Styela clava: one gene and its partners. The protein of the gene in region 1 interacts with the protein of each later gene in a pairwise test. Links are inferred from orthologs where the notes say so. Each region holds a gene or a part of one and is shown on either strand. Other genes may lie near its edges.

Region 1 (8,794 bases):
TATGTTAGCCATCTTGGTTCACATACTACAGGAGTACCGGTTTTTCTATTTGACAGATATGAATGCTCAGTAAACTAAATCTGTAGAATCTGTGTAGAAGGTTTCGTGTTCTGTAACCACAATCGAAAAACTCAAATTTCTGACTCCGGAGAATTCCGAATCAGACAAGTTTGAAAATACGACTCTACTCTGGTAAAAACATTCTAACCCTGGAATTCACAGCCCTGAATACGAAGACATTTTATTCTTCATTCAAGACATATTCACCTTAAAATCCTTTTCTTCTTCTTCCTCTGAATCCTGCGTTGGAAAATGAATGTACGATTGTTTTGTTCGTTCGGTTCCTGCCGCTCCTAATCCGGCTTTCTTTGTTCTTTTCATTGCTTCGATTGGATTCACGATACCTTGATTATCTCGACCCAAACCCTTACCGACTTTGTAACCCATTTTTTTCATCAGTTTCATACCTAAAAAGAAGTTAATTAGTTAAAAAAAAGGGACATAACAGAGATGCTAACGAAGAGGTCATTAGTGATTATATTGTATCGGTATAATCCATGGGTTCCCAAAGTGCCCCATTCAGAGCCCCAGGGCTCCCTGAGAAAAAACCCAGGGGCTCCGCGAGCTATTGTTTACTTATTAGAATACTGAATATTTTTTAAATATGAATTCATCCAAATCATTCAACAAAGCAATTTTGGTTTTTTCAAGGACATCAAACGGTAAATATTAATGTTTCTAGATGTGTTTTTATTTTTATAAAACAATAGTCAACCTCTTTATGGGCTCCATAACTCCAAAAGATTGAGAACCCCTAGTATAGTCAACGAAACTTAACAGAGGGGAAGAGTTTAATTTGGTTCAAAATAGTCTGTGGTCCTAAAAAAGGTTAGACACCCTATTCTGGGTGTCTGACAATATCTTCTGTTTAGGAATCATAGGATAACCACTTTAGGGGAAGAACAGTGGTCTGATGGTCACACAAACGGGATTCATGTAAGCAACATCTACCCAAACAAAAAGTTGTGTTCGCCCCAGTTTTACTATCTCATTTAAACAGTAGTAATGCAGACAAAATGTTTGTTCCCCAAGTTTTAAGCTTTCATTTGTTAAAGAAAGACTGAAATTAATAATGAAATACTAATAAATTACCTATTCCCTTTGTATGCCTCTCAAATGACCCAAATTGCGTCGCCATTTTTTCTTTCTGTTTTTGTTTCGCTGTTAAACTATATGCATGACCACCAGATCCACTAGTCCCAACGGCTGAGGTCGAAGGCTTAGGCTTTGGTTTCTGGACTGAGTGTAGAGTTACAGGTTTGCTGAAATAAATATTAGTATTGAATATATTATAAGTTCTTACTCTAATACAGAGGTGTGCAACACTATTTGTTGATGGTCCATATAACCCATTTCAGACATTTAGCTGGGCCACAAAAAAATTAGCGGAAAAGGCGAGAGAATTTGTAACTTAATTAATTAGTTTCATGTCTCCTTAAAAAATTGTCTACGTTCCCCACCGTTTGAAAACCACTGCTCTAATAAAAGCAAACATAATTATTTTATAAAAATTAAGAATTGAAAAAACAATATACGTTTCTTTAGTCTGTCTTCCTTCAACATCATAATCATCCATATTCTCTTCCTCTTCTGGATCATATCGTTGACGTTTTTCTCCTTCTTTTAAACCTCCACTGATAAAGGTTACTGGTGCTGAGAAATCGCGTTTCTTTTTGCTGTAAAAATTAGAATGTGTAGTAGATAAAAAAAAAATTGTTTTGTCACTAAAACCTGTTATAAAATTTGAAAACACAAATTATCAATACTTTACTTAATGTTCATTTTATACTAAAAAGAAAAATTTATCCTAATAACTTTTGAAGCATTATCAATGAGCTTATAACAAATTTCTTAATAATTTCAGTCTTGAATAAATTTTTGAATTGATGCTTAATACGATAGATCAGATATACATTGATTCCACATGTCTTTGAATAAGTTGGAAGCGTTCGAACTCTTGTTTATCATTCCAGTTCAAACAATTCATGCCTAAAAAAGTGATGACACTTGTGAAATAACCTTCTCAAGCAATGAAACTAGAAAAAAAGGGGAGTTTTCTTGTAAACTGAAAAGTTAATTTTGCATCCAGCATTGCATCCCCCTCCAACTGCTCCCTGAACACCGTAGAGGGCAACGGCCCCTGGTTGGAAATCGCTGCTTCAAACAATGATTGTGATGCCATAATGGTTATAGTGTTGGCATTGCGCATTAAATATCTCAGATCCAAGCCTACACTTCACCCAGGGCATAATAAACTGGAAAGAGAAAAGGTCAAAGATATTCCGGGTCATAAAAAATAGTAGTGCATACTAATGGTTGCCTTGTTTGGAGGAAATCTCACATAAAAAACAAACTAAAAATCGATTTTTCAATTTGACAGTCTTGAATAACTAACCCATAATTGTTCTCAGATGATTTTGCCCAGATTCCATAAAGAGCTTGTTCCTTTGTTTGCTTGAATTGTGGTCGATCTGGATTAAATTCGTTAGCAATGTCATCATTCGTTAATTCGAATTTCTCCATCTCATTCTCTTCTTCACTATCAGCGGCAAACATGGCCGCTATTTTTCTTTGACGGTTCGACATTTTGGGAGGCATCTGAAGACAGAATTAAAATGGTAAAAATGAATAGCCTATATTAATGAGCAGGAGGTTCGAATTTTTTTAATTTATCGCAGGGATGAGGATAAGATGGCTTAATCATAAGACAACCAATTGTCTGGGTGAGCATGTTGCGTATCGGGATAGTAAACAAGTCTAGTAATTAGTTTCACATCCATAGACTTGGTGGATGCGGTAACTGACCAAACAAGAGCTACGAGTACAGCAATTCCCTAGAACTGTGCTTCCCAGCCAGTGGGTACCATATTCTTAATGCCTAGCATAGCACTATGCAACATACAGCATTTGACTATCAGCAATAAAAAACATAAAGATAATATATTAAATAAAATAATATATATAATATGTATATAGGGTACATATGTAGATTAGATATGCTTTTACAAATTTCCTCATTTTAAACATTCGCAAATTCATTCAATCATCCTAACAAATTCAGATATTACAATAAAGCAAGGAAATGCCTGAATGAGGTCTTTTGGTTGTTCGAAAATATAGTTTTATAAGCCCAGATACGGTACCGTACCTACTGAGATATGCTGCTATCTGAAATGTATAATTATTACAGCTTACCGTACCTTCAGCAAGAAGAAAATCCAGTATTATTTCTCCTCACGCAGTCACCAGGTCACAGACTCATAAATATCCACAATTTTTTTGTCCTTTCTCCGTTTTTTAGTGACAAATGATTTCAAAAGCGTCATAAATCCCGTAAAAATAATTAATAGTATCGTAATAATTAATTAATAGTAAGGGAGATGCGAAAAAACATCTGCAAAACAAAAAACAAACGACATTACATTTTAGCCTTTAGTTTTCAGATATTGCAAGAAGTGATGAAATAAAATAGAGAACATAGCTGTGAAATCCATATTACGGTACAGAAATACGATCTGGCAAAGTTAGCATTTTTTATTTTTTTTTTTATTTTTTTTTTTATTATTTTTAGTTTCCGAATTAGATCAAGATTATTAATCATTTTTTTAGAATTTTGAATATCATGGTTTTGATTACCACTGTGAATATTTACTAAAACTCAATGGAATCGCTAGAAGGAAATTACTGACATGCATGAACAGTTACGTTTCCAACAACGCTGAGATTTTTGTGTTTTGGTGACATTTCGTGGATTTTGCGTTATCAAAATCTCCCGGAAAAAACACGGAAAGATTGCGAAGTTATGTCCGATAACGGTTACGACGGTACAGTCGTTGTTAGAAGGTATGTGCTGAATTATTTTTTTTATATACGAAGTAATATAACCTTGTTATGAAGACAGAATCCAAATGTTTCCAACTTTTATTGCTGTTATTTATAGATGACAAGACGCGTGTTTGTTCCGTTTATGGTACCCTTGATTTATGACCATAAAGTTATATTTTATTTACTTTTCATGCTGTAGATCTATAGGAATATGATTGGCGATATTCAAATTTTTGTAAACCAGACATAACTTAAGTTTATGTCATATTTTAGTATTTGAAGTTAGGCACAATATCCAGATATGTTTTTTTCTGATTTCTATTGCGTGGCAAGGTTATATATACATGATTAGACATGGGTAGTAGAATTAGCTATTAGCGATTACATAAACCACTATTTTGCAGTATTAATTTGAAAACATTGACTTCCAAGATTGGCTTTCATGAAATTGAAGTTTTTATGTCTAAATGAAAATAACTTCTTGATATATTTAGATCTGATCGTCGGGGTAATCGTAGATTAAATCATTTGGAGGACAGATTGTTAGAACAGGAAAGAGCAACTAAATCATTGATTGAAAAAGCATTTGAAGTAAGTTTCAACAATCGTTTCTTTTACAATTACTATTTGTTCGATTTGAATATATTTTCAATCTTCTTTTTGCTGTGCACTCTGTTATTAATAACATTGTTTTACTGCTTCTATCAATATGATATTTAACTCAAATTTGTCTTAATTGCGGACTGGAGGTTTTGATCTAATTAAAGCTTCCCAGCTTATCTATAATGTAAAAAGTCAGATGATCAATGTAAAGGGCAAATAGTATCCTCCTTCACATGACAGAGCCTTGTTTGCAGTTTTTTAGGTTCAAAAAAAGTTAGGCTACTCAAGTTGCTACTCAAAGCAAAGTGACACAAACTTACTCCGAAATTAAGGAGACTGATCTCAAAATGAAATTACGGACGACCACTAAATGTGAATAGCTACTTTGACTATACTAATACTTAGGCTATACTTACAGTAAAATTTCTTTATTTTTTTATTCTCAGTTCAAAGAAGCTTTATCCAGTGATATTCGACCATCAAGTATGGATGATGCATTGCAGCAATTATGGCACGAGCATATCAGAAGCGTAACAAGCTCTGTTAAAAAGTTGAGTCGAGATGTTGAAGAACTTAAATTTGAGGTAACTTTTTAACTCGGAGTTTATCGGCATAAAGCCCTAGCTTTCTGTCTCCGTGGGCTCGTATGGAGCGCTTTGATGACATATAATTTAGAGTTATACTATGATGAAACCCTGCTATCTAAATTTTTTATCTAACGATAGTATATGACTTTTCTCTGAACAAGACTCTGCACAAGTCAAGTCACCACTGCTAGATAAGGAGATACCATAGTTTGGAAGCGCCGTAATCTTATCAGTTCGATACCGCCTACCTAATTCATCAAATCCAGGGTAAGGCGGTGGTTGTGGAATTCGAACCCAAGATTCCATTTAGTTATGTCATCACCGTTAAGTCGAATGCTTTACCCATCAGGACCCCATATCTGATTGTTTTTGAAATGATTGCATTGTCAGATTTCATCCAGAGATCGTGGAATAGTGGATGCTTCCTATCAAGCTAAAAATGTTGAACAATTTGCTCATGCGGGGGTTGCCGATCTGAGAGGTCGTGTGGCAAGGTAAGACTACTATTGTTTATTCTATCAATTCCACTCCGTTTTTGTCTTATCAAAAATTTAGTTGCTTTTAAAGCTAAAGCATTGATGATAAGTGTGTAGAAGCGTCGCTGTTGGCTAAATATCTGGAATGATATTGTACAGTATTCCCGTATTCTTTATGAACAGACGAACTTTTTCTAGTTTTCAAATTTGATATTGGTGAAAATAAGGAAAAAATATGGCGAGGGTTGAAAATTGATTATGGAAAATTACCACTTTTTTTTGAGGGCAGGAAATAAGATGGGGACATAGACGAAGTAGATTGATTAATTTTTATGTGCTGTATTACATTGATAGCAACTATAAATTACCCATTGATTTCTATGATTAGACAAAAAATATTTTTAATTTGATTGCACACTCCATGGCTACTCAGTTGTTATTGTTTATAAAGTTAGTAATAGATAATCTCTGGCTAAATTTGGAGATGATTTGGTAAATGTGTTGCTGTTGACCAGCTGCCACTTACATATTAAATGTATTCTCGTATAAATTGGTATTTCAATTAATTCTTGCATAAGTTTTTTTGGATATTTTCTCAATTTAGCATTTGGTCCATCTATATGAGTTTTGCTTTTATAGTTACTCCAAGATTTCAGTACATTTTGCTAAACATTTTTTTAAAAATTTAGATGTGATGCTCTGATTGCCAGACTTGCTCAAGATGTAAGGTCGGCAACATCAGCCAATGAACTAGATAAAAAACATGTTGATCAAAGCACAGACACAAATAAACATAAGATAGATCATCTTGAAAGAGAGGTTTGTAGCTTGTATATCTATAAAAGTATGCAAGAGTTGAACGCTTTGTAGGTTTTTGATTTGTTTTACTATATTGACATTTTAGCAAAATTTCCTTGGTTGTGTCTTGTTTGTGTTTAATTTGAACCTCCATGTCATACTCACTTTCAACTTTTATATTTTTGTATGCAACGAGTTGTTATACCTTCCTGGGCTAATATTGATTTTAAATTAAGAAATTTATATTAGGTATTTGTTATTAATATTTATTGTTAGACAATCATGGTCCAGACATAAATGTGATAAGCATGTCCTACCTGAATGTGTGAATGCCAGATGGATGTTTCATGTCTTCAGTTCTGTACACCTTATGTCTTTCGCTTTATCCTATATTGTTCATTATCTAGTACTGAGAAAAACAGGCTTTCCAATACGTTTGCCAAAATCCTTTCATTTAAATTTGGTAGTCTCCTGCCATTTGTCTCTTCAATTTTAGTGTTCAGTGGCTAATACTGCCTTTTTCCTCAATTGTGCTTCAGATTTCTGAATTGACCAGAAGACTTGATATTGTGATGACTCAGCAGGAAGGGAAAATAGAAGTTATAAAAGGAACAAGCTCTTCCCAACTTCAAGCTATGGATTCGAGAATGAGGGTGAGCTTGCACTCATGTGATGATTTCACAAATACAGTGAAATTTGAAATTTTTTTAAATTATTACCTACGATGTAATCGATGAAACTTGTTTTTGAAACATGTTCGAAATGATTAAATGTTCAGCGAGCGTTATTATGACAGATCTGAAGCCTCTTAAATGCAAAAGTTGAGCCATGATATGCTATAACTTTAATGACAGTTTCTACTTTCTATAAACCTTGTTTGTACAGTTTTAACGAAGCACTGTAAAATCATAACATTAGCCGAATGAAAATACAATAAAGATCGTAATGTTTGACAACTTTCACTTTGATGAAAGAATATGTTAGCAAACAAGATATATTTTATTCAAACTCATAACAAGGCCCTGAATTAAGCAGCCAATGATATACAAGGACAAAGGTGCAACTATTTTTGGAAGGACCTAAATCTTTCAGGTTCAGCATTTACTACTCCATCCAATACAACGTTGGTGTGGCCATATTGCCAAGTGGGTAATGGGATAACAATTGAATTTACGGTTTTTCTCTGCAGCAAGTCTTGGAAGACATCAGACTTTCCATAGATAGTAATCGGAAATGGTCTGAGAGTGAACGAACCAGGATTGAACATCAAATTTCACAAATTATGGAACTGAATGCATCTCTGGCTCAAAGCAAACAGGTGAATAATATATGTCATTGTTTTTAAAGAGCCAAAATATACAAGAGAGCTTTGATAGCTGTTCCGCAACTATGCCACTAATATATAGGGAGTTATATGTAATGAAATCCTGTCTGGCATGAAAGGAAGCTCCTGAATGTAAATTTTCTCATGTGTTTCACTCTGATTAAGAGGCAAGACAAGCAGCCAATCTCTTTGATTCGGCTTCATTAATCCCAAGCCAAGGTTAGAACATCAAGATTATTAACCTTCAAGTTACTGCAACATCATCACAGTCAGCTCCACCGGACTAACTATTAGACTGAACACAAAGCATAAATTTCCACATCCTAAAATTGATAATTCAAAATATCTTATTTATTATCATGGCAGGATGCAATGGAAACAAGATTGCTGGAAAAGATGGATTCCTTGCAAAGATCAGTTGAGGAATGCAAACTAGACATAAGTAAAGTCAGAGAAGAAATGACTTCAACATTGGATAGCAGATCAAGAATTGGATCCATGTAAGTTGTCTGGTAGTTATTTTTATTTTAGAAGAGCTAGCGTATGTATCCTGTTTGTCAATGAAGACCAGGAAATCCTTTTTTTCCCTATGAACAGAATTGTTACATTTTGGGTTTTGTTGCACATGATACCACTTTAATTAAAAATTTGACATTTATTTAACACATAGCTACCCAAAAGCAATCTACTATTTTTAATTATGTGCCGGGGGGTCAAAGGTCGGGGAAACGTCCATTAAACCTTGTTGTTTCTGCTCATTTCTAAGATCAATTTTATGAAATGTTAAGTTGAATGGGTTTGTCCATCAAGAGTTGATATTCAAATACATACTTCGAGCTGTATAAAGAATTATAATACATAGAAACTATTCATTTCAGAAAAAAGAACTTATTTATCTATTTCATAGTAATCAACTATTTTCAGAATATGATCCTTATTTTAGGGTAAAAGACCTCGGTGACAGATTAGATCAAGATATCTCAAAACTAAAATCCGAATATCGAGAATCATTTGCATCAGTGAAAGAAAGTATCGATACAACAAACCGATTAATCAATGGGAAAATAAAGCTGGTGAAAGATGAAATGACCAGAGATATAAATAATATCAGAAAAATGGTT
Region 2 (8,270 bases), on another chromosome or scaffold:
CGAATCTGTTGTGACTTTGATTCAAAAGAGAATCCGTTCCTAGGATTTCAAATAGGCCACCACCATTCACTGATCAAGGCCATCCGATGGCAAATGACCAAGTATCACGAAGAGTCATGTAAAGTCAACACTTGAAGAGACTTTTTTAGCAACAGAATCTCTGTAAAATTTGAAAACTATTTCACTAGCTGTCCTTGCAGCTATCAAGCACCTTTTGTGCAACACAGGGTCTATTGTTCCTTTACTAATAATTGATATAACATTTCTTTTCACACTATCTAATACAAACAACATTGAAGCACTGGCTTCTTGCTCCTCAGTGGTGGCCGGAGTCAGTACTACTTCTTCCTCTCGTGTGTCTCCTTCACCAGGTTCTGAAATTCCATATTCCATTGCTCGTTTCGTAAGAGCCATCGATATAGCAGCTGGCATGCATGTCATGCTGATTCCAGCATCCTGAAACAAGATTGTAGGCATTTGGAAATGATATAAATGCATACACACAGCACTCCAGAAATATGTGTACCAATATGAAGGTAAGTAATTTTGTTCGCCTACTTTACATCAAGTTGTGTAAAGGGACTGAAATGTATAGACTGGCCAACACAGACAGTCTCTGAACTCGTAATAGAACTAAAATAAGGAAAATCAGAATAAAATTATAGCCTCGCCTGGTACACATACTACGGCAGTATCCACAAATCCATTACCTTTGATAGAACGTTTACATGACCACCCTTATTTGTTCTATATTTGGTGGGGAGCTTCTATTCATCTTCATCAGGAGTAATCAATTTACCTCTGATTATTACTGTGGGCCGAAGGATATTTAAATAAAAAAAATGTGTGTTAAAGGACTGTTGAGGCTTATTGTGGATTCTTGATAAGTTTTGAGCCCACCCCGCAAGGGTGGACGCACCGCTCGTATTGGAGTTCTAGAGCATTTCGAAATAAATATGAAACCATAATTTTATTACTTTCACCATATTTATATTTGTCAATGACATACCAATCCACATTCCAGAACTTATCTGAAAAACGATCCAGAGTTTTCTTGTCCCCGAGTGTCACATTAATATCAGGATTTTCAAATTTATCCAGGGGGAGGAGAAAGCCACAATAATGCTTATTCATGCAACGCACCACAGTCTCAAGTAGTCACTAGTCCACGTCTGGTATTGGATCTGATAGCAAGTCATTTGTTTCGAATGCAAGGACTTGATGGTGGAGGAAGCCGTAATTTACCCGAGGAGTCTAGAAATCCTCTCACACATCATATATTGTGGGATGCAAATCCAAACGGGGTAATCAGAGGAGCGATTACAAAAGTATTCCCGCTGCTCAGCCGAATATGCCATATGCGAATATCTAGAATTCATTGATATTGATATTTGGCTGAGCATAAGAAGTCTATTAAATAGTAAAAACATCAAACACACACCTGTAAAGCCATGCTGCATCCATTGATAGCACAAGAAAGAAGCTGTTTCAAATGTAGTTAAGGAACTTTGATGACAAATCTTTATCGAAATGTCTTGAACCATTCAGGGCCAAAACCAAATATTTTAGTATCCACTATTCAATACAATTCATACATCGTAAAATAATCTTATCGAATATGAAATACATTCTGAAATGGGTCTGTTCAACAAGAGATATATTTAAAGACAATTGTAAATTCATAGAAATCAAATTCAGTCATGCAGTAGAATTTAAATTAACATTTGTTCCAATCTATATTCTCTATTTTAGTTGGTCAGTAGTTACTAATTTTTTTCTCTATCATAAAATAATAAATGCTAATAAAGAATATAATCTGAATTATTCCTAAAATCAAGACTTTACTCAATCGAATATAACTAATTTTCGAATTATTTGAATATTTAATTCCTTCTAGTTCCAGGCATCTCTGGCTTGAACCAGTCAAACTCTTTAAACTCAAAGTTATAATCAAGTCTACTAAAACTCAAATTCCGGTTCTCCTAAAATCAGTAGCTTCTCAAATAACCTCGGATATCAATGTCTGCAAGTACAGATGGGCTTGTTCAGGGCACTCCAAGAATGTGTGTACCAATATGGAGGTAGCTAAGTTTGATCGCCTATTTCACATCAAGTTGTGTAAAGGGACTGAAACCCATGGGCAAGGGGGATATTCACTTGGATAACACAGACAGTCCCTGAACTCATTATAGAACTAAAACCAGAAAATTATGATAATATTATGACCTAATCCTAACCTGGCACATATGCTACGAGAGTACCCTGCTCAGAGCAAAAGACACAAAATATTCGTCATAAAAATGAAAATAAATTAGTAAATCTGAGGTTTTTAATAAAGGATACAGATCCACAATCTTGAACAATTTGTATAATAATCATTATTTGACTTCTTGGATATAGATGTGTCATGATGACATTTTCAAATGTATGCCTTATTGTGTGTTCCAAGTATTTCTCCGCAACGCCAGGAATCCCATCTTTGGGTCGGAATGAAACTTCAATTGTACTTTTGTCAATTAATTGTTTACTTTCTCGACAATCTGCCGGTCCATAAACTGCAACGAGGACATTTGTGTCACCTAAATTGAAATGGAATGTGTTTAAAAATAGAGCAAATAATAAATCTGGAATTGATCAATTGAACTATAGTTTGCCATCTCTGACTTAGATGATCATATGGTTGTATGGTATCGCTCCCTCTGGTCTTTACCGGAAAACATTGTGTACATTCATTGTATTTTTACTTTCATTTTTGGTTGCAAATCAATAAATCTATATATCTATTTCTGTTGGAAGCATGGAGTTACTCTATTGAAACAACTGTTCTAATTATTCTTTGATATCCTGGATAGTGAAATGTTCAGAGCAGAATATAAATTATGTGACTTTTTGATTGCAGGAAGAATATTTTGCCTTTACCCAGAGATGACGAGTAGATTTGATTTCGCAGGTGGAATAATTCTGACAAAAAGTTTTCGGCAATATCTCTAAAATATAAAACTTGTTAACTGGTCCCGTCATTGCATCCCATTTTTTGAATAAATTGTTACTGAATTACCAAACATGGCCATGTGAATATGCCATTGCCTAACAGTTTATCAAGTCGCTATTCACAGTTTAAGACGATTAGTGAAAGACTTGATCAATCAATTGGTTCATTCTGCACCTCACTCAATGTGTAATATAATAAATTTGGTGGGAAGTGGAAAAGTAATTGTCATTCCAAAATCAGAACACCAATCTTTTTCTAACCTTAAGCAAACACCTATTTAAGCTCAGATTAAAACATCTTATCATAAAAAAAACGGCGCTCCAGAAGTATATATACTCATATGAAGGTAACTAATTTTATTCGCCTACCGGTACGTTACATCAATTTGTATGAAGGGATGAAAGCTTATGGGCAGGGAGTATATTCTTTTTGCTAACACAGACAGTCCCCGAACTCATAATAGAACTAAAATAAGGAAAATCAGAATAAAATTATGGTCCAACTCTAATCAGGTACACATACTACGAGAGTACAAAAAAACACAATAAATTGAAAAACCTTCAGAGTAATCAGCAGATCCATCAGGATTGTTGAGAATATTTTGTTCACATCTCATAACTTTCATGTCAACAGTAATACCGGGCATCTCTTTCTGCTTCATTGTTTTTATTCTATCACAATGTACACTACAATGAATCCTTGTATATAAAGAAAAACAGAACAATATAAATAAGGTATTGCAAAAATGTAGCAGTAGAACCAAAATTGGAAAATGTCCACTCGGTGGGTTTGTTGACTTAAATATTTGTATCAAAACTTATCTCAGCATTTTCTTTTAGAAAACAATAGAGCAATAGAAAAAAATGATATGTTGACCATAACCAACGTGTTCAATTTTTCTTGTGGCCTAAGAGCAAAATTTTTAGTTTAGAAGGAGTTTCATATCTAAGTAAGTTTTCATAAAACAGTTTGAGAAGAAATATTTGAAGATCAAGCATTTCTAAAGCAAATGTGAGATATAAAAAATTTGCAAATTTGGTAAACTAACCGATTTTAAATAGAGGCGAAAAATGTTATCAACTATGTATAGTTGGAACATAACTAGCATTATCATAGATATAAAAGCAGAAAAATAAAATAATGGCAGTAATAAGCTATAATATATATCAAGAAATTACATTTGAAGACCATAATTGTCTGATACTAGTCTTGCATGTCCAACTGCAAAAGACAGCAATTTAACCAACATTCGGAAATTTTTAATTTTAATAATGAAACACTTTGCTCTGTATGTGGCCCTGCATAAGACCCCACTGATATCTAGCAATATGTGAGAAGTTATTATTTTTGGAAAGACTGGAATCTTCAAGATTCAACGTAGTACACCCTGGGTGAGATTGTTGTGAGCATGAGATTTGAACCATAGTGTAACTATAGATGTCCGCACAGTTAAGTCTTAGCACTTTAGGGTGCACATTAGGTGCACATTAGAGATGTACCGATGTATCGGTATCGGTATCGGCAATATCGGTCATTTTTTTGGTATCGGCCATGTATCGGTATCGGTTAGATTAAGGCCGATATTACCGATATATTTACCTTTTTGATATGGTCCAGAATGTTTTAAAAGATAAGTTGGAATACTACTTTTTAATTTATTTTTGTCTGGAGAGATCGTGAGCCATACATGTCCCCACCCCCGCGAGAGAATAGGATTCACATGTTTTTAGCTATTTATCAGCTAAACTAGCTCAACTAATTTGGCTATTTTCGCTGTCAAATTTTTATATTGACATTTTTAATATTACATAGTTTTTATGAAGAAATATATCAACACAGCACATAACAAAAAGCAACTAGGCGCCCAGTTTTAAATCATGCAGTGGAATTGGGGTCCTTCCTTATTAACGGCACATGGACTTTTGGCACGGGTATAAATTCTGACTGTTTGTCGTCAAGTACGAGTGTCATTTAGTCCGTCGACATCGATAAACTAAATTCCGACACAATTATCCCTCTACACAGGTATTAATTTTAATTCTGCTTAACTACACGATTTCTTTATAGATATATTGACTTGACCGCCTAGCCCTAGACTGTCTCAAAATATAAGATAGCAATTGTAAAATATTATAAAATAGTGAAGTAAAAAAACATCCTCAACGGTTATCGGTGGGCCTTCTTTTTGTCGGTGCTGATTGATATTCTTTCATGTTGGCTTTGACTTATTGCGTCGACGATTACGATTAGCCACTGAATTAAATATTTGTAAAATGCTTTTAATTTGAACGTAGGACGGCGGCGCTAGAATGTGTGGGTGATATTCGATATTCTTTTAAACACGAATAACGATATTCGAAGCTCGCGATATTAACATTAAATTCAAATTGGACATCTCGGCTTATGAGTTTTCTAATTAAACACCGAGATTACTAGCGTTACTGTACAATGTATCTTAATCAGTTACAGTATATGGATACCAAACATTAATTTCATATTATGTGATATATATATCTTTTTTTTGATCTGAAATAATGTGTACTATGAACAACGCTTAAAGACCATTGTTTTAACCCGTCTGCCCTACACAGCATACCTAATTAAGTAATAATTACATAGTATCTGTATCGGAATATCGGTAATATCGGCCTTTTTGTAGTATCGGCGTATCGGTATCGGTATCGGCGTTTTTAGCTGGTATCGGTATCGGCGACAAAAGTGGTATCGGTACATCTCTAGTGCACATGGGCTTCTAACCCTGGTGCAATCTGCGATGCCCGAATAATCAAGTCTAAAGCTTTAGCTTGGCTATAGCACCCACTTCAGTTGGTTGCACCAAAACCAAAGTTATCATTCTGATAGCATTGATAGAAATGTTGAACACATGATCATATGTGTGTCCCATTTGGTGGGTTGATGTACGAAATTTGCTCAGTTCAGTATGAGACACATATACGTTATTGTCAAACAATTAAACAGTGAATACCAATTTACAATAATGAATTTCAAATACATAAATACAGTATACACAGAATATGGTGTGTATAAATGTTTAGTTTCTCAGTTAAAAATCATATTACTATTATATAGCGAAAGTTGATCTAAAATTTGAAAAGAAAAATTAAATATTATCAATTATTTTGATTGCATTGGTATGCTGCTCTATTTTATGAGTTATGACTAACATCAAGACTTTATTGCTAAGCCTTTATATGTTATTGATGAAGGTATATAAACAAACATAAGATATTGATGACAGTAAATCGCATCACAATAAAATAAATTTACTTGCATGAACAATACTCTTCTTAGTTATTGTCAAAAAAAAACAATGTATTTTCAGACTATTCTTCAGATTAACAAACCTACTGCTGGTTTCTAAAAAAATTAATTTTTCTCTGAAAAAATATATTTCCAATACTTCTCAATATCTTTGTATTATATTCAAAATCAAATTGAAAAACTTTATTCATTATGTTATGCACATTTACTGATCATCTGAAATGGAGGACAGATATAGGCTAAAAATGACTTCATCAATTCAAAACAAAATCAGTATTTAACAAAATTGATGACACGCTTACATGACCTCATAATAATGGCAGAATATTGATACATAAAGAATACCAGTGCTGATCAAACATTCAGAATCGGTTATATTCAAAATAGAGAATATTTAAATGACACATTTATCATTTATAGCTAATGATACAAAAATGGACAAAATAATAGGCTTCGGTCAATTCCATATGAAAAAAAAATAAAACAAAATTTATCTTTGCTCTTCTTAGCTGTAATATTGCAATCCTATGAATGTACAATTATACATGCATGCATTCTGTAGACATAACTGGATAGATTATATCGGGCATTCCTTATTTAACGAAGTTTACAGGATGTACTCGAAGTATGGATGTTTGATTGGGATGTCGAGCGAAGTAGTTAAGTATTAAATTTGGGCCATTTCAGGTTCTGATATGTCATATGATACCATTTGCATTGTTGTGACATGATTTTTCTTCATCTTTCCATCAGACTATCAAGCTAAAAACCTTTCCTTAAGTTGCTGTATATTTTAACTATTGATGCAAAGTTTGTTTTTTCTGGTTGACGAACAATAAATCTCTCTCTCTCTCTTCATGTAGTCAAGACTTTCATGGTGAGTGACATCAAATTCAGATTCGATAGCGCAAAAACTAGCCACGACTCATGTAATTGTTGAAGTTGAAACTGGGACGTCCTTGTTTGTTGACAAAACAGGGGTCACTGCTACCGGTCTGTTGATCACATCTATTGAAGTATAAGCAGAGGTTGATGGAGAACCAAGTGGTTTAAAGTTCCTTTCAATTTCATCATCGTCCTCAGATTGAGATGATTCTGGATCAGTTAAAATTTGTTCAATTTCGTGCTCTGTAATACTTGGTTTACGCACCAGTGATGCTGAAGTTCTCATCAAAATTGAACTTTTCAATTTCTGTTTCGTGTAATCAGATATTGACCCAGTTCGAAGTAAAGTCTTGTGTGGTCGTATTTGAGAAGTTTTATCATCCTCTATTGACACAGGCATTGAGGTTGATCTTAGAAGTGGTGCTTTGGGATTACTATGTGATAAAGCAGCAAGCCTATCCATTTGCGGACTTCGTTTTAAAATTGAAGATTTCCCAGGTTCAGGTGTTATTCTATGTTTTGCTGGAGTAAATGCGCTTCGTGGTGAATGAGAAATCCCAGAGAATGGCCGAGATGGCATAATTTTTGTATAAACTTGCGAACCCTTTTTAACAAGAGTTACCCCGGATTTAGTCACAGTTTTGGAAGTTGTACAAGTGTCAGACTGACTAGATATAGAAGAACTGGTAGATGTATTATTTTCCGATTCTTTTGAAATAACACTTTTTGCATCATCAATTACAGAAGTGACATTCAGTTTGCTTGCTTGAACAGAATTCGGATTATCATGCAAACGTGTGTATGACTGCTCTGTTTCAGATATTATGTTGGCAGGTATCATAAGCTTACTTGGACAAGTTTTTTCATCCGCTATTCCCAGTTTTTCTTTATTGGCAGTTATAACACCCTCTATAATCGTAGCCACAGTTGTATATGTCCTATATTGTTCCTCTTTATTGGCAGTTTCTAGGGATAAAGGATTGGGATTGTCTATGACACTATATTGCATTGATTCCTGGGGTGCAGACTGTTTCAATGTCGATGCATCAGCTGCTTTATTACTCGCTGAGAAACCTAAAGAGGTCTTCTCAATTTCACGTACATCACTATT
Region 3 (7,539 bases), on another chromosome or scaffold:
AATCATATTTAACAAGAGTAATAATGTTAATTTTTTTAAATCACGAATATGACCACTTTATTAAGGTTAATTAAAGTCAGCTATATTACCATTGACAATGATGATCCATATTCAACACACAATAATTACACTTGCTACAGTGATGACTTCTTGGAGGTCGAGCCATGCAACATCGCACACATTTTTCCCATGTTCGCCAATCAATCTGACAACATAAATAATAAGTAAATATATGGAGGATGAAGACCAATAGCATATATAAAATCCAATGCGATAGAATTCAAGTCAATTGAGAATGTTTAGCATATTAGGATGAACGTACTACCTCCTTCCTTTGGTATCTAACAAAAATACTTCTTCATTAAGATAACATATGGACTTGAAATATACTAAAAACCAACAAAACCGAAACGAACATATTACAAAATATATTTCTTCACTCATTGGCTCGCTAAAAATCATAGTGCACTGTTTAAGGGATACTAGCATGAAACTGATAGCTGAAAAAAATAATCGAATTTTTAAAGAAAGCAAAATATTATAGCAAAATCATACCTTTGTATCTTCAACCTTTTCTACCTTTCCAGGGTCTGAAAACATGGAACGGAAAAATGCAACAATGGTTGCAATGCTGAGAAAAAGATATCCTGAAAATATGAAATATATTGTATCGCCACATTCTCATAGTGTTATAAAATATATTTTTGATGTTAAAATAATTTGCATAAGCTAAACACTTGTTCTTTGCGCCAGGAATTAAATTTTAAATATAAAAGGAATTAATTTTGAAAGCTTACCTGAAATTGTAATGCTAGAAATATTTCCATCTTTATAATGAGGTACGAGAATTGGTAGAAAAACTATGAGATGACCATACATCCATATAAATAATACAACAGATGAAGATATCAGCCCTTTGCGATCCCATAATAGTTTAGCACCAAAAGGTAACTGTACAAAGTCAGCCATATCAATTTACAGTAAAAATTAAAACTACATCTTGAAATTCAAAAACAAAAATATCCTAGTTAATAACATTGTTATATAAATCAATGCGCAATATTATAAATATCAATGTCGATATGATTATAAATGTCAAAACGACAATTTGTATTTAAAATCACTTAAACTATAAGTTACGAATAAGTTCAGAGATCTTGCATCACAAATGTTTCTCGTAGGACTCAATATGGAAGAATAGAATCTCTTTTATATTACCCGGAAAAATGCAAATTATTTATCTGTAATCTGTGTAACAGTTTTAGGGAACCACAGAGTCGAAGTGACTCAGATCATTTAAACAGAAAGATTTTTCCAACCACCAGAGAGAAATGACTTGGGACTAAAGATAATTTCGGTCAAAATTTTGAAAATGAAACAAAATTTTGGTAAAAAATGATTTACCACATACTGAATTGGAAAACCAAAAATTTACAGCTTGTAGAAATAGGCCAACTCATATTAGGATGGGTTGATGGAGAGGTAAATACTGCAATACATTATTAAATCCAACACTGATTAAATTATCAAAACAACTCTGGTTAAACACAAGACAAAACTTTTGGTGTTAATGTGAAATGCACGACGACTTGGACTGGGCTCACAAATCGAATATCAGAGATTTAGCTTGACTTGCAAATTAGGCGCTTAGACCCAAAACTGGGGTTTAAAATGTATACAAGATATCTAACTGATTTGTTTAATCACAGTGATACTGATAAAATATATTGTGAAAGACGGGACCTTATTCAGAGATAAAAACGATCTGATATCAATATTTAGAATGATATTTTTGTCTCACAAGATGAGGATTATATTGGGAATTATATCGCCCTCGTTCAATGTTATAATTATTAGATGAATTGGATTCTCCATTATTTAAAAGTGCTATAGTCCTTTCTCTTTCCTTTTTCTCTCGCTTAAGTCTTTCTTCTCTTAATTTCGCTAATTTATCATTAGATGAACCTGATCGGCGTGGGACAGATTCCTTTTCAAAAAGTTGATGTTTGTGTTTTCTCTTATGTTTCTTTTTCGTTTTTTCTTTTCTCGATTCCACAAGTTTTTTCTTCTGTAAATGATTTTGCATTGCTTGGATTGGATCCAAAGAATTTTTTCTTTTCAAATCTGCTTCTTGATGATCCTCGATAGACGAATCCCCTTTTTTACCATCTGAATATCGCTTTGGTGTTTTAAAATACCATGGCTTGTCAGAGTCCTCCATTGTTTCCGCTGCACTCTGGCCCAAGTAAGTCAAGAGACCAATCTTCTTTTCATAATTCACTTGTTCTTCTTTTTTCTCTTTTTCATGTTCCACATTTTTTATTGATGAAGTTGCACCCCGTTCAAGTGTTGAATTCGTAAAGAAATTTGTAGGTAAAAGACTTTTCTCAGATGAGCCTTCTATTTGTTTAAAATCAGCCCCGGTTTCAATTGCTCTTTGACGAGCTTTATCTCGTAGATGTTTTGTTCTTGCTTCTCGCTCAGCCAAAGCAGCGCGACGATTTTGCTCCTTTTCCTCAAGCCTTGCATTCTCTTCATCTCGTCTTACTTTGGCAACGTTATCCTTATTACGAACATGCCAACTCTTCTTTGGCAGAATATTCATTTAAAAAATCCAACGAAAACCAACTTTAATGTAATAAATACTGTTCAATAACATTCATTCATACTGCTGATTTAAAATGTTCCAAAACAGTATACTGATTGAAGATTAAAGAAAAAAAAATTGTATTATGATTGGGCTTTAGTAAGGATTTGACTTACCTAGGTTGTAAGTAACATATAAAAACAGCTTAGTAATTGGGAAAAAATGGTTCTCCTTCTTGAACTTGACACACCACAAATTAAAAGATATAAAAATACAAATATAAAAAAAACAAAGTTGTTTTATTAAAATCAACCCAGTTCTCTCGTCTGTGATTGCATCATTGTCGGGAAGTCCAAGCTTTCGAAAACAAATAACTGGCTAACTAATCCCATACCCGACCTGGACTGGTAACCGGACAAGAGGCCGTGGTTCACCATACGATTAAGCCGTCTTATCGGCTTTCCTCTCCCCCGGGATAAATATGTAAATCCAAATCCAAAATTGCAGTAAATAAACGATAGGTACCGGTACCATACGGTAGACTGTCATTCTCATCATACTGCCCTACGGCGATGAAGAACTCAGCAATCGAGTCCAGTATAGTTTAGTACCACAGGTACTTACAGTGGGCGTAGCATAACGAATTTTGCATATGTTATTCCTAACCCCCACCTGACTATGCCATCCAAAAATTACGTCACTACGACGTCGCCATCACGTCATAGGTCTTGCAAAAGTATAATTACGATCGCCTGAAATGACATCTGCGCCGCCGATAACGAACTCGCTAAAGCCAGCGATCTCTCTCCTATCGTGATCGTTGTGACGAGAAAACAAGAGAGATACCGTAGCTTGCTCGATTTCGGGTGCTCGTCTGCGCGTTTTGGACGACCATTCGCATACTTCTGTACTTTGGTGGTCATTATTACGCCACTGTGACGTCGAAATGACGTACCGGTACTTTTTGGGTGACGTAGTCAGGTGAGGGTTAGGATTGACATATGCAAAAATTGTTGAGCCAGGCCAACTAGAAGTGCATGTGGTACTAAACTATACCAGACCCCAGCAATCTTCTCGGTCTTGCAGAAAACGCGCCCTGTCTAGTCTAACAAAAACAAAATGACGATGAAAAGTTAACACAGGTGAATGTGAAACTCAAACTTTAAACGAGCAAACATTCGACCCTACTCTCTCTACGGCGCCCTCTCGTGTGCTATGTTGATCCTCAGTTTTATGCGACGTTTTGTCCGGAACATCGAATTTCTTGTTTACTTCCGTGACATTGGTAATACCGAAACGGTGTTGTAGCAATTTATCAGGCTATTGAGTTAAACATGTTGGTCTGTTAGTTTACATGGCTGTTTCAAATGTTTTTTTTAGACATATATTCATAAATTCCCTCTAGATGTGTTTCCACGCCAAAACCCCATCTGGTGACAGCAAATCATTCTTCAAATGTGAGTTTCGAGACGTCTGCAAACATTTATATTTTAGTTCCGCGGGTCAGTGGTTCGCCATCCCTGATATAGTGTCACAGATATTATATTATAAGATATTATATAAAATAATAAACAACGTTAGACTAGACCAGGCCTGCACAACATGCGGCCCGCGGGCCACATGCGGCCCGCCAGATACTTCTGTGCGGCCCGCGGTTGATTTGGAAACACGCCACTTCTCGGGTCTAACAATCAAAGCCGGCATTGTTATTTATGCAAGCGAGCCGCTACGCCGATCATATTCGAAATCGGGAGGTTTATGTTTTGCACTAGTTTCAATAAATATCGAACTTTGTGTGAAATTGGTGTGCCCTTCGCGACCCTTAAAATTTGTTGCTCGACCTCTCGCCCCAAGTTTGGAAAACTCTGATTTAGATATCTCAGTGTTCAAACTGAATCACGCTTAAAACAATATCGGTACAATCTCACACCCATTAGTGCATATTAGCTACCTATTGATAATTCCACTATTTTTTACTAGCAGTTTATGAAACAGTAGTTTCTTTTTCAAATTTAGAACTTAAAAACAATTCCTTCATTTATGAATGGTGCAGGAATTCTCGCACAAAAGATTTTGCTGTTTACTGTTAAATTTCAAAAAATTGGAGCAGATTTTGTAGAAAAATGTAATTTAACAGTCGAAGAAATATTGAAAATGAAGGGTGGGTTTTCAAGGTAGTTGAACCACTCAATACATATTTGCCATCTCATATGCAAAAATACTGTACCTTGTCTTTACTCAGGAAAATAAGATTCTTCATAATTTTAAGCCCCCCCAGTAATGAAAGTGTTTCATTAAGTTTAACTGTTTCTCGCCCCAAGTTTGGAAAACCCTGATTTAGATATCTCAGTGTTCAAACTGAATCACGCTTAAAACAATATCGGCACAATCTCACACCCATTAGTGCATATTAGCTACCTATTGATAATTCCACTATTTTTTACTAGCAGTTTATGAAACTGTAGTTTCTTTTTCAAATTTAAAACTTAAAAACAATTCCTTCATTTATGAATGGTGCAGAAATTCTCGCACAAAAGATTTTGCTGTTTACTGTTAAATTTCAAAAAATTGGAGCAGATTTTGTAGAAAAATGTAATTTAACAGTCGAAGAAATATTGAAAATGAAGGGTGGATTTTCAAGGTAGTTGAACCACTCAATACATATTTGCCATCTCATATGCAAAAATACTGTACCTTGTCTTTACTCAGGAAAATAAGATTCTTCATAATTTTAAGCCCCCCCAGTAATGAAAGTGTTTCATTAAGTTTAACTGTTTTACAATATTATTTCGATTTGTAGTTCATTTTGTGAAATATGTATGTGGCAAAGTTTGCGGCCCGCCGAGCCTTCAAATTTATGCTTGCGGCCCTCGTGGTAATTTGAGTTGTGCAGGCCTGGACTAGACTAATCAACAACTTATAAAGTAATATCTGAAGATGTCGCTTTATTCTGACAAACTGAGAAATGCTCGGAAAAAAGATGAAGAAGAAAGATCCACTTTAGATAGGTCTAAATGTATGGCCTTGAAATTTGGTGATGACAAGATTGTTAGAAGAGAAGATGTATGGGATTTATTCAGAAAAGTTGGTATTGTGTTTGAATCAGTGGATGGATTCTTGATGACATCTAAAACCACAGTTGATATACATACAAAACCAGAACAACTGCGATAGATGTCGATAAGAAATTGTGGGAGATGAAAAGAATAGGGGCAGAAAACCTACTACTACATAGGCTTTATGTTCCCGGAAATGTTGCTGTTTTTATACATCATGTACCAATCCCATTGAAGGAAATTGAAATAAAAGAACACTTTGAAAACAACCATGGAAAAATAGGAGAAGTTCTCCCATTAAAAGACAGGTTCAACATAAAAAATGGTATTCGTAGATTTTTTATAAGAAAAGATGATATTATGGAAAAACCCATCAAGAGTTATGTCAAAATAAAGGGACATTCTCTTTTCGTTAAATATTGGGGACAAAAACCAACTTGTCGCATTTGTGGCAAAACTGGTCATTTGAAGAATGCATGTGAGGAATTCATTCCAAAATTTGTAAAATACAAAGATACAGGACAAAAATTAACAAGTCCAGAAAATGTAAGAGATGACGAAACCATATTAGCACCCAGACAAGAAAAAGAAACTACACCCAGACAAGAAAAAGAAACTATTGATATAGAACCAGTAAAAAATGCTAGCCCAAAACAAAGCACACCAGCAAATGCAGAAGAATGTATAACTGTATCAAGTTTACAACCTGAAATGTTTGGCAACATCTCAGACATCAGTGAAGATAATGAAATTAATGGAAAAGGGAATGAAAAACAGATGCACTCTGAGAATTCGACAAGCAAATCTAATTCATCAGAGAAAACTATATTATATGTTTTGGGACGAGACAAACAACAGCAAGAAAATCTAACACAAAAAATATCTACTAACACTGATTCAAATGAAAGATCACCACCAAGAAAGAAAAAAACGGGGAGAAAACAAAGAACTATGACCATAAAAGAGGCAAATGAATATCTTCAGAGTATGAGCGAATAACACTTGTAATTCTTCTCATATTACCAAATCAAAGAACAAATAAGAAATAAAAAAACACATATAATGGTGCTGTATTTAACAATATTAACAATTAATGTAAATGGAATAAGAGACAACCAAAAACGAAAAGATGTTTTTCATGGATTAACCAAGCAAAAAGCAGATGTGATATTTTTACAAGAAACGCACTGCACCCCAGACGTTGCATTAAAATGGCGCCGGAAGTGGAAATGGGATACAAGTTTATGGAATAGCGGGAACTCAAACTATAGGGGTGTCGCTATATTAATTAAATCAAAACTGAACAATTTTTCATTTAGTAATATTTCTTTTGACAATAATGGAAAAGTAGTGACTGCTAATATAAACATCCATGGAGAAATAATTCATTTTGTTAATATTTATGCCCCCTGCAGAACAAGCATTATAACACAAGAAAACTTTTATAACAACAGCTACAGATTCATACATTCACAGTATCCTGTTATTTTGGGAGGTGACATGAACTGTGTTCATGATGTTGACCGTGACCGTGATAGATCGGAAAGCACCAAACGAGCTAAAAAGGAATACATTTCTGAGGCGTTAAATGAACTTATAGACACCTTTAATTTGATAGATTCTGTGGAATATTTTCCAGATAACAATACTTTTTACACATGGCGAAACAACACCGTACAAGCAAGGTTAGATCGTATCTACTGCTCGCAAAACTTGTGTTCAGTATCAAATTTATACTGTTGTCCAACTTATATTTCTGATCATGATATGTATTCGGTTGATATTGAAGTTTACACCAACTTGGAAGAAAAAGGGAGCGAATTCTGGAAAAACAATGTATCAGTTTATAATAGTGAAATATATATTGAAGAACTTAAACATAAATGGAATAATTGG
Region 4 (7,551 bases), on another chromosome or scaffold:
GATTGTAGAAAGGCGCTAATGCTGATTCTTCGTTTAACAACAGTAAATAACCAACAACAAGTAAATATACACTTTCTTACCCCTTAAGACTGAAGTAATTGATTTGTCCCTACGCAGAAGTTGTGAATTCATGCTATATTCATTAATACCACATTTGAGTTGTCATTGTTTTTAATAGAATTTATTTTACTATGCCTTCGCTTTCATTAGTAAACAAAGATTGTAATGTTATCTGTATAGAGAAATACTGTCATTTTTCTATGTTACATACGAACTAGTGTGGCTCGTTGGAGTTAAATTTTAAGGCTATAATATATATAATAATTTCATCACAAATGAACCATAGTTACTAGATGATTCTGAGGTGTGAACGGAATTTATTCCCGTGGATGTTTATAGTATGTGACGGGATCGCTGGACGCCTGGACCCATGGTTCAGCCTATCACTGGAAGGACCACGTAACCCGCTTGTCACGTGGCAGCAGATTTTGCGCTTCCATATGGTCATGAACTTTTCAGATTACACAGTTATAATGACAACTTTACTGTGTATAATCTTAATCATATTACGAACAAACAAAAAAACATGCTGGATGGCATGCTGGGATATGCCATCAAGGGCGACGGGATTTCGGTATTGAATTATTGCCCTCACTTATTCAGGGGCCTAGTTACTGAGACAACCGGCTGATGAAAACCAAGAGTCGACATTAAACAAACGAACTATAAACATGCAAAACTTTTTGATAAAGTGTTCTCAGGATATGAATCTCATATTTTACACCCAGATTAAAGGGACTCAATCAAATGGCAAAACACGCCTCTCGCTGCCAAGTAAAATGAAAATGTGAAGTTTTGCATCGAGATCTAAAACGCTAATACCTGCTACACTGCTTACTGTCAAAAAACAGTCAAAATAATTTTATAATTTATTGATTACAAGATTAAACTTCATTGTTATTCAGGTTCCTCCATTATAATTTCTTTGCTTTCCCTGGACATGAGTTGTTGTCTTATTTCTGGTGTGATCTTAGGATGGATTTGATACCTCAGCAACTCTCTCAAGCTATCTGCTTGTTCATCAGAGACATCATTTCTATAGGTCTCGACAAAGGATAAAAGACATTGATGCCATAACACTGGCAACTCCCTTTTGTCGTTACGAAACTGAGAGAAGTGGAACACAAGAGCATCAATGACTCGAAATGGTAGTGCATACTTTTTAGTAATCAAAGCTCGGAGAAAAATGCTGTTACCACCACTATAATGCATTTCTGCTATTTTGATCATTGCTGCACTAGCATGAAGAACAGGTATCGTGCATTTTGTGATGACGCTCGAGATTATTGTAGCTTCTCTCAAAGTACATGTACCTTCTTCACATAGTGGCAAAATGATTCCTTTAAAAAAGGCTGCCGGTTTGTAAAGCGCCTTTTTTAATGCCATAAAAAGGTGAAAGTTCAATCTTTTGTAGTAATGAATATCATCCCTTATACGTGGCAGTAAAACCAAATTAAAAAATCTTTGAGCCATGTGAACGTTAAGATTTGAAGCAAATATTCTTGTTGCTTGATACAACGCAGCTGCACTCCAAGTATCCGGCTCCGTGATATACAAAATCTCTTCCCAATTTTTAAGATGTGGTAAAACTTTGAATGCTTTCGGCAGCTTCCCACTTCTGTATCTAATTAAAATGCTTTTGACATCTTTGTAAACTTCAATGATTCTAGGATCAATATCCGGCATGGGATTTTCAACATCAGGCATTAGTGTAGAGACATCGGTTTTCTTTTCTGTAATTTTCTCCATGATTATATCAGCTAAAGTTCTTCTTGTTGGTGGATCAGGATTCATAAAAGCCTGTAATGCTTTTTCATCTTCTTGATTTATAACTATGTCTTGATCTTGATATTCCCCTGAAGCGGCAAGAGCAGCACTTTCTGCTAAACTTGGCCACTCATCTTCATCCTCATTTTCTGAATCGGAATTACTTTTCTTTCCTAGTTTTATTACAGTTTTAAATTTTGAAGCTCCGATCCCAACTTCTCCTTCCAGTTCTTTTTGTTGTTTTACTGCTGCATCAAGAATTTTTTTTGTTAATCGATTATCGACAAAATCATCTTCTTCTTGTCTGAATCGAACCTTCGGTTGCCGATTTGATGCCGCCTTAGTAACATTGTCTGCTGTGATATCCTCAACCAGACCAACTGATTGCTTCACAGCCAGAGGCTCTGCACGCTTCGCTTTGACTTTTTTACTTTTTCCCATTTTTATCTTGATTATGGTAATATTTGAAAATCTAAAATTAAAATAAAAAAGGTGGAAGCATGAAATCACACAGAAAAATATAAATTATAATGTTAAATATATATTTACAGCACCTGAAGTTAAAAAACAGTAACTGTATAAAACTTGCCACATGGCTTAAAGAACATATGTTGCAAAAGCATTAGAACAATAAATTACCACATGCAAATACTCAATTATGAACCCAGGTTCAGTGGCGCAACCAGGCCGTTTTCAACGGGGGGGTCCGACCGGAATTTACACAGTGCAACCACGACGTAAGTCGCAACGCCACTAGGTGTCGCCCCGCTGACCACGATAAATTGCTCATGGTTAAAAGGGAAACGCCATCGATTAAATCCCAGCCTTTCGCTTACCTTGCACTCGTTCTTAACGGCGCTTCGCTATGTCTTGCACCTCGTGGGTAGCAAAACGCCGTTCATTACATTCCAGCGAATTGCTAACGAAAAGCTGTTAATTATTTTCAACGTTTTCCTCGCTTTGCGCCTCGTGGATAGTGAAACACGGCTTGAATAAATTCCAGTGTTTCCCTCGTGCCGCGCCTTGCTCGTTGGGTGAATTCGTCAAGACTAAAAACAAAATGCACTTCTTGCGAATGGACCTTTTCCCGACCCTAACCCCGGAAAAATTCTAAACTAAACTGAAGCTCACCGGAAGACATAATGACAATTAAAATAATTGATTTACAACTAATTTTTGGAAACACAACTAAAAACTGACTAATTTAATGCAGGGATGTCCAAATCGAATTTAAATTCAAATATCGCAAACTTCAAATACTGTTTTTTCGTGTTTATAATAATCCCAAATATGGCGCACATATCCTAGGCGTCGTCGTCCATGTGTGGTTCGGCAATATATTACAGCTGACATGAAAGACTTTCGATAAACGCCGACTTGAAGAACTTATAAGACTTCGAGGACGTTTTTGATTGAAAATATTTTCTTATCGGGTATTTTAACTTAGTCGAGATGGTTTAGGCGTCCTCGGCAAATTGTGTCTTAATTAGTTGTTTTCATCCTCAGTTTCGATAGTGACCGAACATAACAGAAAATTTTTTCATTTCTTCTAATTTAGCGCGTATAAAATAGCCCTTAAATAGTATTTAATATCTATCGCGGATTTCGTTGGCATCCGGCATTGATAACAACATCAGTTCAGTTAAAGTTAGCGGTATTCATTTACAAACAAAAATACATAACAGCCGACATGAAATATTCAAATCAGCGCAGAATTCAATAATAAAACACGTTTTATGGTCTTAATATGCACATAGAAAGAAGAAAGGACAGAGAAATAACGACTAAGAACGGTATAGTATGTTTGTGTACTTTTGTTTACCATCGTCATCATAATCAAATTAGTTAATCCCGATTCCCAAATTTCCGTCCGCCAATAATGGAGAATGAAGATGGAAAAACGTGTTTTACTTTTTGAGTCAGCGTTGATTTAAATTTTTCATGTTATGTGTTATAATTTTTTGATTATAAACCAATACCTCCAACTTAAAATGAACGATATTGTTATCAACGACGTCAGGACTCGGGATAACGATAAAATCTCCGATAGAAACCAAATAATATTTAGAAGCTATTTTATAGATTGCAAGAAATTAAAAAATTTCCCGTTAAGTTCGATAACTATCGAAACTGAGGATGAAAACAATTAATTAGGACAGGATTTGCTTTTAAGTTTATTGCCGAGACGCACAACATATCTTGACTAAATTGAAATATACGATAACAAATGTAAAAAATTTTCAACCCAAAACGTCCTCGACGTCTTATAAGCACTTCAAGTCAGAGTTTATTGAAAACCTTTCACGACGACCGTTAGTTATTGCCGTGCCACACATGGCTGCTTTCGATTGCGATAAAAATGAAATAATTGTGGAATGTTTTTAAATCAGAACGTGGACGGGGGCGGTAGGATGTTTACGGCGTTTTCGGCCTTTCATATGTAGAAAATCTTAGGTTATTCGAAGCAATATTTTTCCGAAAATAATTTTCGTATCCAGATTTTCAGAGTTTCTACTGCATTATTATAACATGAAGACGGGCGGCGTTACATTGCGTCAAGATGATGAAGCACGAGAGTATTCGTCACAAGAGAGAGAGAGATAGCATTATGCTATTGTCGCTTTCAATTCGCATCGACAGCGCGCGATTTCTACTTTTTTGAGATAACATATCTCATTTTCGAATACAAACATATACGCGGCGTTAGCGATTATTACGTAACTATCAGCAAAAAAGTATGATTGAAGTCGGGCGGTGTTAAATTACGTCGAGGTGATAAAGCACTGGAAAAAAGTAGTTTTCACCCGATTGTTATGACTGTGGAACGACGTTGTTTTAACGTAGAACAATAATAAAAAAAACGAAATTCAAACGGGGGGGACACGACCCCCGTAACCCCCCCGCTGGTTGCGCCACTGCCCAGGTTAGTAGTATAAATTCTCAGACATGAATTTTTAGTAAATTTTGAAGCAATTCAACTTAGGAAAACATATTCCAATCCAGCCACTATTTTCCACACTTTCATTGAAAAAAAAAAACTATGTATAATCTGAGACTAACATAATAACTATTTTCCATAAATGTGGTACCACTACATTTAACAAACATGTGTGTGTAATAGCTGGAGACATTGATATAACCAATTATTAACTACATCAATAATTTTGTAATACATATGAGATAAAAGAGTTAGTAATGTGTTGTTTAAAATTATAGGTAAAATAGAGAATTAACTAAACAGAATAGTATACAAAATATTACAAATACAAAATTTTGAAATATAGTGAAAAATATATATTTTTCTCTAAAAATTAAAAAAATAAAGGCAAAATCATAAAACTATATTACTCCTCTTAATAATAAATACCGGCACCTAATATTAATGGAGAGTGTTTTGTACAGATATCTGACTCAAAATTCCATTAAAATTATGCAGAAGGAGTGAATATTTGAAGCTTTAGTAATAATGAGGATATCTAAGAATCTGACATCACAATTCACAACACAAATAATTAATTTCGATGAATTGATTTAGTTAACAGGTGTATTAGATATAATGGATGCAATATTTAAAAAAAACTTTCAATTTGACTATTGAATAAAGAAATTTGTTCAAACAAGGGCCACATGCACTCACTCACTTATATATTAAAGGGATTTCTCGAACTTTTACACCGAATTTAATCTGTTATAAGATTGCATTTGAAAAATTCTAAATTGTATGTACTTATTTCATCCTCGGTTTGTTGTTAGATATATCATTATGTGCTTTACTTTTCTTTCTCGTAACTTTTATGCAACTGCTTTTAAGGTTGAAGGTAAATAACCTTTATGACCAATAGAAATTGAGAAATATTCCCCCACTCAAGATTTTAAACGCCTGTGGGCCATATTTTTCATAATTTCAAATCGTTTGATAGATATTACATATAATAAATATATGGTACAAAAAAAAAGCACAAATATTCAAAAAATCAAATGATCATCTATTTTTTAACAATGCAGTTCTTGCATTGACAAGAAGTTTGAATGCATCTTCACTTCCAGGAGCTACATTTTTATCAGGATGAAGCAAAACAGCAAGCTTACGATAAGCTTTATTAATATCATCTCTTGTCGCAGAATGATGTACTCCAAGTTTTTCATAATTATCACGTCCATTTTTTATCCTCAATATAGCATCGGCTTGTTCTTTCGTAAAACCAAGATTGGTGTTTACAGGACCACGCTTTCCTCCATTTTCAGATAGTTCTACTAATGCATTAAACATGGCCTGGAACATTTCATTTACACCTTCCCCCGTACCGGCTGATGTTTCAAAATAATGAAAACCTTTTCCATCTGCCCATAATCTTCCTTCTGTTGTATCAACCACTCTGTTACCTTTATCAGTTTTGTTAGCGCAAACAAAAAATATCACATTGTCCATTTTTTGAGGTTTTCCAATTTCTTGCCGCATTTCTTGTAACCATGATTCAAGGCATTCGAAACTGACACGGTTTGTTACATCATAAACAAGAATTGCAGCTTGTGTGTCTTTGTAAAACTCATTTCGTACTTCGTAAAAGTAGGGATGTCCTGCCATATCGAAAATATTTACTTTCAGTTCTTTATCATTTACTTGTACTTTTGTGACACCATAATCAATCCCAATAGTCGCCAGATATTTATTTACAAATCTCTTTTCACAGTATCGCTTGATTAAACAGCTTTTACCAACTTCGGCATTGCCCATGCTAATTACTTTTACTCTTATACTTCGAGGATGACCTTTTTTACGGGTCAGTGGATTGGTGTTGGAAGACATAACTAGAATGTTGTTAACGTAAACCTAAACAATAAATGACATTGAATTAAATGTAGACTAACAAACTGGATACCAGATAAAAAATGCTTGGAAAAAACAAAAGCTAAGCAATTAATTACAAATTTTTACTCCGCGTAGTTCAAAACATTATGAAAACCATAACAAACAAATAAAAAGAAACAAATTTATGACCTCAGAACTGATGAATTTATTGATGTTTAACCACATAAAAGTTTAAATACCTTGTAGTGAATTAAACAATTTTAATAGGTGATTGAAAAAAGACAAAATACCAGTATGTATTCTATTCAACAACTTCAATTGCTTTTCTAACTTTTCTTTGCTCAGATAAAGGAATAGCAGGATTTCCAAAATATGAAATTTCCAATATTCTGTTGAAAAAGTCTTTTATTTGTGCCCATGTGGAATCAAGGTCTTTTGGAAACTCTTCAAAATTTATATCATAGTCTGTTGTATGGTATCTCAGCACCCACCATCGTCGATATAAACCAATATCCACTATTCGATTATGAAATTCCCTCCATTTTGGACGTAAAAATTTACATTGCGATTCATAATGCTTATTAGTTACGTCATAATCAGTATAATAAATTAGAGAGAAAATCACTAAATTTTGATGGCGAATTCGTCCCTTTGCAAAATATCCAGAAACTTTTTGAATGTGTTCATCTGATTCTTTGTTTCGAGTTTTATCATTCAATAATACAATTTCATTAGACTTGTCTACAAGCTTTGCATAAAACTCGGTTTCGGTCGGCATTGTCCGATTGAGTCGGATTCCAAATAGCAATAATCCTGTATACATTGTTGTTTTACCTGGGTTTTCCTTCATATATTGCAAAGACTCTAGAGCTGAAGTTCTATAATCGACAATAGCAGTCTTGAGTGATGTTTTC

The links.
Region 2: the proteins of tuftelin-interacting protein 11-like (region 1) and exosome complex component RRP46-like interact in binary tests that used the Homo sapiens proteins (3 or more experiments, as listed by UniProt). The link is inferred for Styela clava from reciprocal best matches to the Homo sapiens genes TFIP11 and EXOSC5.
Region 3: the proteins of tuftelin-interacting protein 11-like (region 1) and leukocyte receptor cluster member 1 homolog interact in binary tests that used the Homo sapiens proteins (3 or more experiments, as listed by UniProt). The link is inferred for Styela clava from reciprocal best matches to the Homo sapiens genes TFIP11 and LENG1.
Region 4: the proteins of tuftelin-interacting protein 11-like (region 1) and bystin-like interact in binary tests that used the Homo sapiens proteins (3 or more experiments, as listed by UniProt). The link is inferred for Styela clava from reciprocal best matches to the Homo sapiens genes TFIP11 and BYSL.

What each region holds. Positions count from the first base shown.
Region 1 is NC_135264.1:14,209,766-14,218,559, reverse strand, and holds the start of tuftelin-interacting protein 11-like, read right to left. Parts: upstream 3,451-8,794; 5' UTR 3,261-3,450; exon of another isoform or gene 3,256-3,260; intron 2,659-3,255; coding exon 2,456-2,658; intron 1,737-2,455; coding exon 1,596-1,736; intron 1,323-1,595; coding exon 1,153-1,322; intron 468-1,152; coding exon 268-467; intron 1-267. Other genes in the region: protein FAM81A-like, read left to right, coding at 3,863-3,903, 4,380-4,476, 4,935-5,072, 5,466-5,569, 6,241-6,370, 6,889-7,002, 7,539-7,667, 8,040-8,173 and 1 more. UniProt on the Homo sapiens protein: Involved in pre-mRNA splicing, specifically in spliceosome disassembly during late-stage splicing events. Intron turnover seems to proceed through reactions in two lariat-intron associated complexes termed Intron Large (IL) and Intron Small (IS).
Region 2 is NC_135253.1:19,714,047-19,722,316, forward strand, and holds the start of exosome complex component RRP46-like, read right to left. Parts: upstream 3,685-8,270; 5' UTR 3,654-3,684; coding exon 3,551-3,653; intron 2,580-3,550; coding exon 2,344-2,579; intron 1,484-2,343; coding exon 1,442-1,483; intron 457-1,441; coding exon 115-456; 3' UTR 1-114. Other genes in the region: uncharacterized protein LOC120326325, read right to left, coding at 7,200-8,270. UniProt on the Homo sapiens protein: Non-catalytic component of the RNA exosome complex which has 3'->5' exoribonuclease activity and participates in a multitude of cellular RNA processing and degradation events.
Region 3 is NC_135251.1:20,484,530-20,492,068, reverse strand, and holds leukocyte receptor cluster member 1 homolog, read right to left. Parts: upstream 2,721-7,539; 5' UTR 2,606-2,720; coding exon 1,772-2,605; 3' UTR 999-1,771; downstream 1-998. Other genes in the region: palmitoyltransferase ZDHHC21-like, read right to left, coding at 90-205, 556-647, 798-969.
Region 4 is NC_135262.1:15,087,408-15,094,958, forward strand, and holds bystin-like, read right to left. Parts: upstream 2,269-7,551; coding exon 958-2,268; 3' UTR 917-957; downstream 1-916. Other genes in the region: dnaJ homolog subfamily C member 27-like, read right to left, coding at 5,810-6,634; mitochondrial import inner membrane translocase subunit Tim29-like, read right to left, coding at 6,939-7,551. UniProt on the Homo sapiens protein: Required for processing of 20S pre-rRNA precursor and biogenesis of 40S ribosomal subunits. May be required for trophinin-dependent regulation of cell adhesion during implantation of human embryos.